2 linked regions of the Schizosaccharomyces pombe genome follow. Changing the gene in region 2 together with the main gene of any one other region gives a genetic interaction. Each region holds a gene or a part of one and is shown on either strand. Other genes may lie near its edges.

Evidence for each region.
Region 1: mutations in SPOM_SPBC1778.09 (region 2) and gid8 together harm fitness more than expected from each alone (negative genetic interaction), as found in Schizosaccharomyces pombe (one large-scale study listed by BioGRID).

What each region holds. Positions count from the first base shown.
Region 1 is NC_003424.3:4,594,497-4,597,883, reverse strand, and holds gid8 (ubiquitin ligase complex subunit protein), read right to left. Parts: upstream 1,643-3,387; 5' UTR 1,446-1,642; coding exon 1,345-1,445; intron 1,281-1,344; coding exon 1,085-1,280; intron 1,041-1,084; coding exon 615-1,040; 3' UTR 504-614; downstream 1-503. Other genes in the region: tea5 (serine/threonine protein kinase Ppk2), read left to right, coding at 1-204, 263-317; DNA repair protein Rhp41, read left to right, coding at 2,095-3,387. UniProt on the Schizosaccharomyces pombe protein: Component of the GID E3 ligase complex recruiting N termini and catalyzing ubiquitination of proteins targeted for degradation.
Region 2 is NC_003423.3:3,110,738-3,114,899, reverse strand, and holds SPOM_SPBC1778.09 (GTPase-activating protein), read right to left. Parts: upstream 2,449-4,162; 5' UTR 2,177-2,448; coding exon 932-2,176; 3' UTR 503-931; downstream 1-502. Other genes in the region: pdk1 (serine/threonine protein kinase Ppk21/Pdk1), read left to right, coding at 1-439; arc3 (ARP2/3 actin-organizing complex subunit Arc21), read left to right, coding at 2,696-2,701, 2,748-2,847, 2,928-3,203, 3,300-3,442; SPOM_SPBC1778.07 (carnosine N-methyltransferase), read right to left, coding at 3,701-4,162.

The DNA of each region.
Region 1 (3,387 bases), on a different chromosome or scaffold from region 2:
TTTTCGTAAATCTATTCAATCCATCCAACTAACTCCGAATGCAAATGTTTTAGTCAACCGAGTTCGTGGATTAATTAGCCAAGAATTTAAGGAATTCCTTTTACAAACCTTGCAAGCCGAAACATTACAAGGCCCTAATATCAATATGTTGTTGGAAACTTCTAGTTTTTTGGAAAAGCGACAAACGCTCAATTTTGAAATTTGGTAAGTTTTCAGTTTTGGAACACTTTTGTTTATATCCAATTCTAACCTTTTTTTTTAGCCTAAACAATCTTAATTTGCGAGAACGAAAGGCATCTCGCTACAGTTATCTATGATTACCAATGAAGAAAATCAAATTATTCGCCATAGAAAAAATATTGCTAATTTAATAACCCATTAAATTCCCTCCTTACTTTTAAAAGGAAAAGTTGTGTTTGCTTTGCTTGTCAGTAACTTGATACTATACGATGTTGCTTAACAACAAAAATTGGCTTTGTTAATTGAATGTCATATTATCATTTGTGAGTTCAATAATTTAATTATCATTAGTGAGAACAATACGAAAAAAGTTCTTATGTTAAATGGATGTAACAGACATAAATGCATAAACTGAGGAAGGTCGTAAAAAGTAATCATTTTATGGATGCTTTGGGCACAAATTTCTGCACTTCAATCGAATTCCTTTGTGCCTCTTTTTCACACCAGCGCTCAAAATTTACCAAAGACAACAACCTAGACTCATTTGATAATCCTTGAGACTTCAATATACTAACGTTGGCAAGGTTTGCAACACGCTCACGTTGGCTGTAATTCAAAACATTTTTCAAGGCAGGGCTGTAGGAAGAAGGAGGAAAACATAAAAGCGACATTGTCAACTCTAAAGAATTCAAAAACTTTTGATTTGAGGGTGCTAAAGGTGCTAAATTTTCATGTGCAAAGTTTAAACATCTTTCTACCGCTAAATCAGAGGTATCTTTCTCTTCAACAACTTCTCGTATCAATTCAAGCAATCTCAATCGTAATAATTCAAACAGAAGTTCTGAATTTGTGTCCAAAATCTATGTAGCTGTTAACTCGTAATCCTTACTTGCTTTCAGCATACCTCTGGCTCCAATTCATTCAGTTTGCATATTGCAGAGTTAATTGAACCTGATTTAATTAACTCGCAAATCTCTAAACGTTCTTTTACATATGGAGGAATATAATAATCCGTAATTTGAGCTTCTTCAGCAAATGTTTTTGCGGCTTCTTCGTCACCTTGAATCACCAAATAATCTAAAATCAGCGAATTCACGTCTCTGTACAAGCAATGATTAGTAACCATCAGTAACGTTCAGCGAAGCAACTATTTCAGTTACTTACGAATTATCGATATGGACACTTTTTGTCTGTTTCTCCCATTGTTCTGCGTCCGAACTTGAGCTACCGCTCATTGAAATATCTAAAGAAGAAGTGCCTACCATCTTTAAGCTCTCGTGAGAGAACGGTAGCAAATTCTATTCTATCCTAAACAAAGAGACCTTTTAAAGCTACCAAAAGTTATGACCGGATAAACGAGCCTCAATTCTTGATAAAAAGAAATTTAACGAAATTTATATAGGATAGAGATAGTAAACCCTTGAAAAAGGCAATTTGAAATTCGAATAGCCTGTGCAATGCTAAAGATTGAAGTTGCAAAGTAGCCATATCGCTACCTCAAAGATATGCCGTTTACCAAAATGCAACGCAAACTTCTAACTTAAAATATAATGTACTCTAACGGCGATTTTTGGTTTCACTACAACGCTGTATATAAACAAATTCAACGTTAGCTATGATTTTAATAGAAAAGGAATTTGTTTTTCTTAACGTTATGAACTACTTTTCGTATCAATAAATACAAATCTTTTTCTCATGTGTTACGTGCATTATTAATGGTCAAAACATTTTCTTATATTCTACTTAATTGAAGTATCTTTATAAACTCGTGCTCCCTAGTGTTTTTAAAGAGTTACGCATCTCAAAAACGTTTCATTGGTTTTTTATGTTTCATTTTTTAAAATAATATAATAGAATAAGGGCGCAACGAGTCTTAATACTGAAAAAAGTTGGCTTCTATCAAATATAAATGCTATGATGAGTGACGAAGATAATACCTATAGTGATGATGAAGAATGGTTAGATTTAGATCTTGGTCTCCCTAATAATGATATTAAAACTGCACCTATTTTAAATTCTTCGCTCCTTTCATCCGCCGTACATGGTGAAAGGTTGATTCAAGAACGACCAACTCATGATTTTGGAGACGTTGAGGCCACCGTTGATCGAACGGTTGAAAAACGTAGCCGCTTAAAGATCACTTCCGTTGATAGAAAGATTCGTCTTCAAATTCATCAGTTACACTTACTCTGTTTGACTTATCATCTTTGCACACGAAACACTTGGTGCGATGACAATAGACTAAATTATCTTGTGAAATATATTCCTCCTGGTATACGTGTCTCGCTTCATCCCTCTTCTCAAAAGTCACAAATGATTCGGAACAAAACTTTCCTACACGGGTTGGCTGGACTCGTCGAAGTTTGGAAACGGAAATATAAAATCACTACCAATGGATTAAGAAAACCGAATTATGGTTTACTACAAAACAATAGCCTCATCTCTGAATCTTTATCCCTTGAGGAGTTTTGTAAAAACTCAAAATTGCTTTCCGGTAGTAGAGATTATGGAACCCAGTTATTTGCATCTATTCTTCGTAATTTAAACGTTCCAACTAGACTAGTTTTTTCACTACAAGTTTTATCTTTTCGATTTAAAGGTGCCATAAATGAAGCAAGTAGTCATGAAATTGTTCCGGCATGGTCTCAGCAAATGGAAAATGATTCATCTAGCGATATCTCTGAAAGTGCACACATTACTTCTAGATTTCGCAAACGTAGGAAAATCATACAGCCTTCTTTTTCAAATCTTTCACATCTTGATGCCTCAGATATTGTTACAGAAGATACAAAACTAAAGGTAATTGATTCTCCCAAACCGGTTTTTTGGGTAGAGGCTTTTAATAAAGCTATGCAAAAATGGGTTTGTGTTGATCCATTTGGTGATGCTAGTGTCATTGGCAAGTACAGAAGGTTTGAACCGGCTTCCAGTGACCATCTAAATCAAATGACTTATGTATTTGCTATTGAGGCTAATGGGTATGTAAAAGATGTTACCCGAAAATATTGTTTACATTATTATAAAATATTAAAGAATAGAGTCGAGATTTTTCCCTTTGGAAAGGCTTGGATGAATAGAATATTTTCTAAAATTGGAAAACCAAGGGATTTTTATAATGACATGGATGCTATAGAGGATGCGGAATTACTAAGGCTTGAACAATCAGAAGGAATTCCGAGGAATATTCAAGATTTGAAAGATCACCCG
Region 2 (4,162 bases):
TGTTGACAGACTTTATTACAAGTTGGTTCCATCGTCTGAGTCGATCATTGAATCTACCTCGGTCTTCGTATCACCCATTCCAAGTGTACCTGAGGGTAATAAGTTTCCATCTGGACTCTCAAAAATGTTTTTGAAAAGAAAGCAAAGGGTTATGCTATTAACTGATGTTGGTCGATGCGCTTTTGTTTGTAAAGGAAAACATGAGAGACTTTTTATCGAGATGGAGGTGAACTTGAAGGATTCCAGTGTTGTAGTGATTTTTGATGAAAATAGTTCCAAGCGATTCTTGATTGAAGATAAGGTCCAGTCCTGGATAATAGAAGACAGTTCCGGGGATGTCACCAAGTATAAAGACAAAATCCTTAAGTTTGCTGATGTTGCGTCTTCTCATCAATCTCGTTCTTCAGAAGAGAATGTAGAAGAGAACGAGGAAGAGTAACCCCATACCTTGTTTTATTTGATTTTTCAACCCATTTACTACCTTCTTTATATTTTATTATTTGTCGTCAGTGTTTTGGTAATATTTAACTATTTAAGCTATACATAATTAGAAATTACGACGCACCTAGGAAGTCGCAAGATGGAGAGGTATTATGTATACATATATATGTATAGTATTTATAATATATATACTTGAATTAATTTTATGTTAAAATTCCATTTCTTTTGGTGAGATGTTAAAATTATAATATTAGTAAGAAGAGAGAGTTAGATAGGATCGATTTAAAGCGCATACTCTTGATACCAATAAAAGTTTTGTGGTATCAAGGAAATAATGTTTATCAACGTTCCAAATTAAAACAGAAAAAGAAAATGATAAATGTTCAGGACCCATTATGCTAAGCTCTGTGATATCAATCCTCATCTTGTTGACATATGTTACATCATGTGGGCCACAATTAATAAAGCTATTAAAAAAGAGTTAGAAATATCAGTTTCTCTTACTTTTAGAAGAATTTTCAGAAGGCATTTTTTCCCAAAATAATTGAATTCTAGCAAGCAGGGCGTTATCGTTTTGAATGGGAATAACACCTGACAGAGCTTGCATTACTACTTCAAAGTCTGCATCAATTAGCGTGTCCCACATTCCTTGTATAACCGCAAGAGAAGTGGCTTGCAATAACCTGACAGTTTGACCTTTGCTTCCACCTAATAAAAACAGGAGATCCCATATACGTAATTGAGTATGGAAGGGCACGCATTGATGAAAAACAGTGAGATACCAACGTGTAGCAAAAGCAGATGGTTCTGCTCCAATTTCCGCCAGATGTCTGCCTGATTGTGTAAAACTTAACTCATGCTTAAGCATGTCAAAAGCCTTTAAAAGTGTATCAAACCCGGAAGAAAACAAGTCCCCCATGCCTCTATTTTCCAATAAATTTACCATCATTATAAATGCTTGTTCTTCGGGATAGTAAATGAGCAAGGTCGCAGCAATAGAAGCCATTCCTTGAACGTATCCAACACGAGGTATATAGAGAGCTACAGCATGAAGAACTCTAAATAGTAAACGTTGCCCTCCAATGTAGCGTTTTCGGAATAAGAAATGTGTAGCAGCTGTTCTGGGAACATCTAGGTCAATTTGAACATCATAGTCACAAATCTGCTCGTTCAATTGGTAATACTTGTCAATCAGTTTTTTATCAGGAAGAGAATCCACAAGAAAGGACCACCACGCAATAGATCGCCAACAATCTGGAATCCCCTTAAATGTACGTAAAATTAACTTACGAGTTTTTCGAAAAGAATGGAGCTGATTACCGGAAACGAGGTGTATTGAACACATCGATTTCCATTTTTGAATACGGGAAAGCTCTTTAGCTGATATTTCGTTGCGGTCATGCGACTCGCCGGGAACAACCATGAAGATGCTTTCATCAACGTACTTCAGCATGTCATCATGGCCGATTAATTTATTGCCAAGACGTTTGGCAGGGTTTGGTTTATCTAATGTTGGGTCTTTACTAACTTTATAGAACCCTAAATTATTAACATTAAAGTCTGAGCGATAGTTTCCGTAACGATCCACATTTTCCAATGACTCTTTTGTATCGATTTCTTGAACTTTTCCATTAATAGGTTCTGGTATATTTAAATTATTCTTGTCTTCTTGTAACCTGTACAACGACCGAATTCGTTGCAAATTGGTTGTTCTAGTTGGGGAAGGGTTTTCCATGCTCTTTCAGATATATCCTCAATTCCGTCACTCTGGAGAAAACAGATTACCTACTAAACTGTATTAAAATATCCAACACAGAAAGATTTAACAGGGGGGAATTGTTTCCGATGTAGTAATGTTTACGGTCCCAAAAGACCGTCTATCCCCATATAAGTCAGTACGTTAGATCCCAAAATCAAAATAACCAAACATGAAAATCTTTTTTTGACGTTTTTATAATTTTTCAAGCAATAAATGCATTCGTGCAAATGCTTATGAATTTGGTTCTCGCTACAAATTTATTGGCTCTATGTCATTTCCATTGATGAAAACTAGTTATAAAGTAGAGACCGAGACCCGATCACAAAACAAAAAAACGACACGCTATATTGCTTTACTGTAATTACATAGCTTTTCGCTATTTTGTTTAAAGAAAAGCTAATTTATCACTATTGATGCTTGACGAAATGCTCCCTATCGGCACATTCAGCAGGTGCTCAAGTTATCCAACAACATCATAAGCACTAGACATTAGATATGCCGGTATGTTCTAAAGTTTTGAATTTTTGTTGCTGACATGTTATGAAAGGCCTATCATTCCTCCTTCTTAAGTCTTACGGACGTCCCTACCACGGGAAACATAGCAATGCTGCCGTTGAAAACCAAGTTTCGTGGACCGGCTTATCCTGGTATGTTCCAGATATTTGTCAACTCTGTTTAAAGACTATTCTTAATGTTATTAGAGTACTTTCTAACATTTTTTATACAGCTGATGAGAGTCAAATGGATATTATTGATGAATGCATTGGGCTGTTTCGCGCCAATTGTTTCTTCCGCAATTTTGAGATTAAGGGACCAGCAGACCGTACTTTAATTTATGGAACATTATTTATCAGTGAGTGCTTGGGAAGAGTTAATGGACTCAATTATCGTGATGCTGAACGTCAACTTAATAGTTTAGCGTTGGAGAATTTTTCTATTCCTGGCTCTGCTGGCTTTCCCTTGAATGCATTATATGCTCCTCCCCTTTCTCCTCAAGATGCTGGTAAGATTCACCCAAACTGTGGCATTAGACATATAGATGTTTGTGCCGCTAATAGCTTTCTTGCTTTTTTTTTCATTTGCTAACTATTAAAAAAAGAAATAATGCGTACATATCTTACTCAATTTCGTCAGGAACTTGCTTATCGTCTTTTGTCCCATGTATATGCAACTGAAAAGGATCATCCCAGCAAGTGGTGGACTTGCTTCAGCAAGAGACGTTTTATGAACAAAGCTTTGTGAGTCTATTAATTAATAATTTGGCTCATACTGTATTTCAAAGCCTTTATGTTTTTCCGTTTCCTTTATTTCAAATGCGGCTTATAAAGTTTTTGAAGCGTACGAATGGCTTATTTAATGTAGGCAGTTTTATACGTAGATAGTAGATGCAAAAATAATCGCTTTACTTTCATGTACAAGTTATCAATTAGCTTTGTTAATTATGCTAAAGGAATATTTGAATGATTAAAGTCGTAATATTCAATGTTGGTTCAAAAATTTTTATTGAAATCGTAATTTTGATTTTTGCAAACGGCAGACCCAATAATGAGGATGGTATATCCATTCAAGCATACTTCGTTTGTCCCCCATATAAGTCGTGTCGACCGAATTGTGCTTTAAAACCTCAAATCCCATACTATCCATCACGTAAAACAGCTGCTCGAGAGTCAATTCAACGAAAGGTTGTTGCTGGCTATCACTGTTAGAATTAGAAGTACCTTCTGACTCAAAATGATACAATAAAGGCCCGAGATTTATCCAATAACCTCCATCTACCAAACAGTTTTTAATTGTATCCAAATAGTCCAGTATGTTTTTTGTAGTGTCTATAAAGAAGCAGGTAGCTACTACTTGAAACGAATCACGACTTTCTTCGGTGCCGTATACCTCCAGGAAATCCCCGGCTGCCATTGAAAAGTTTTGTGAATTCCGCAGATATTGAGAGGGAACTGCATCAGGAAT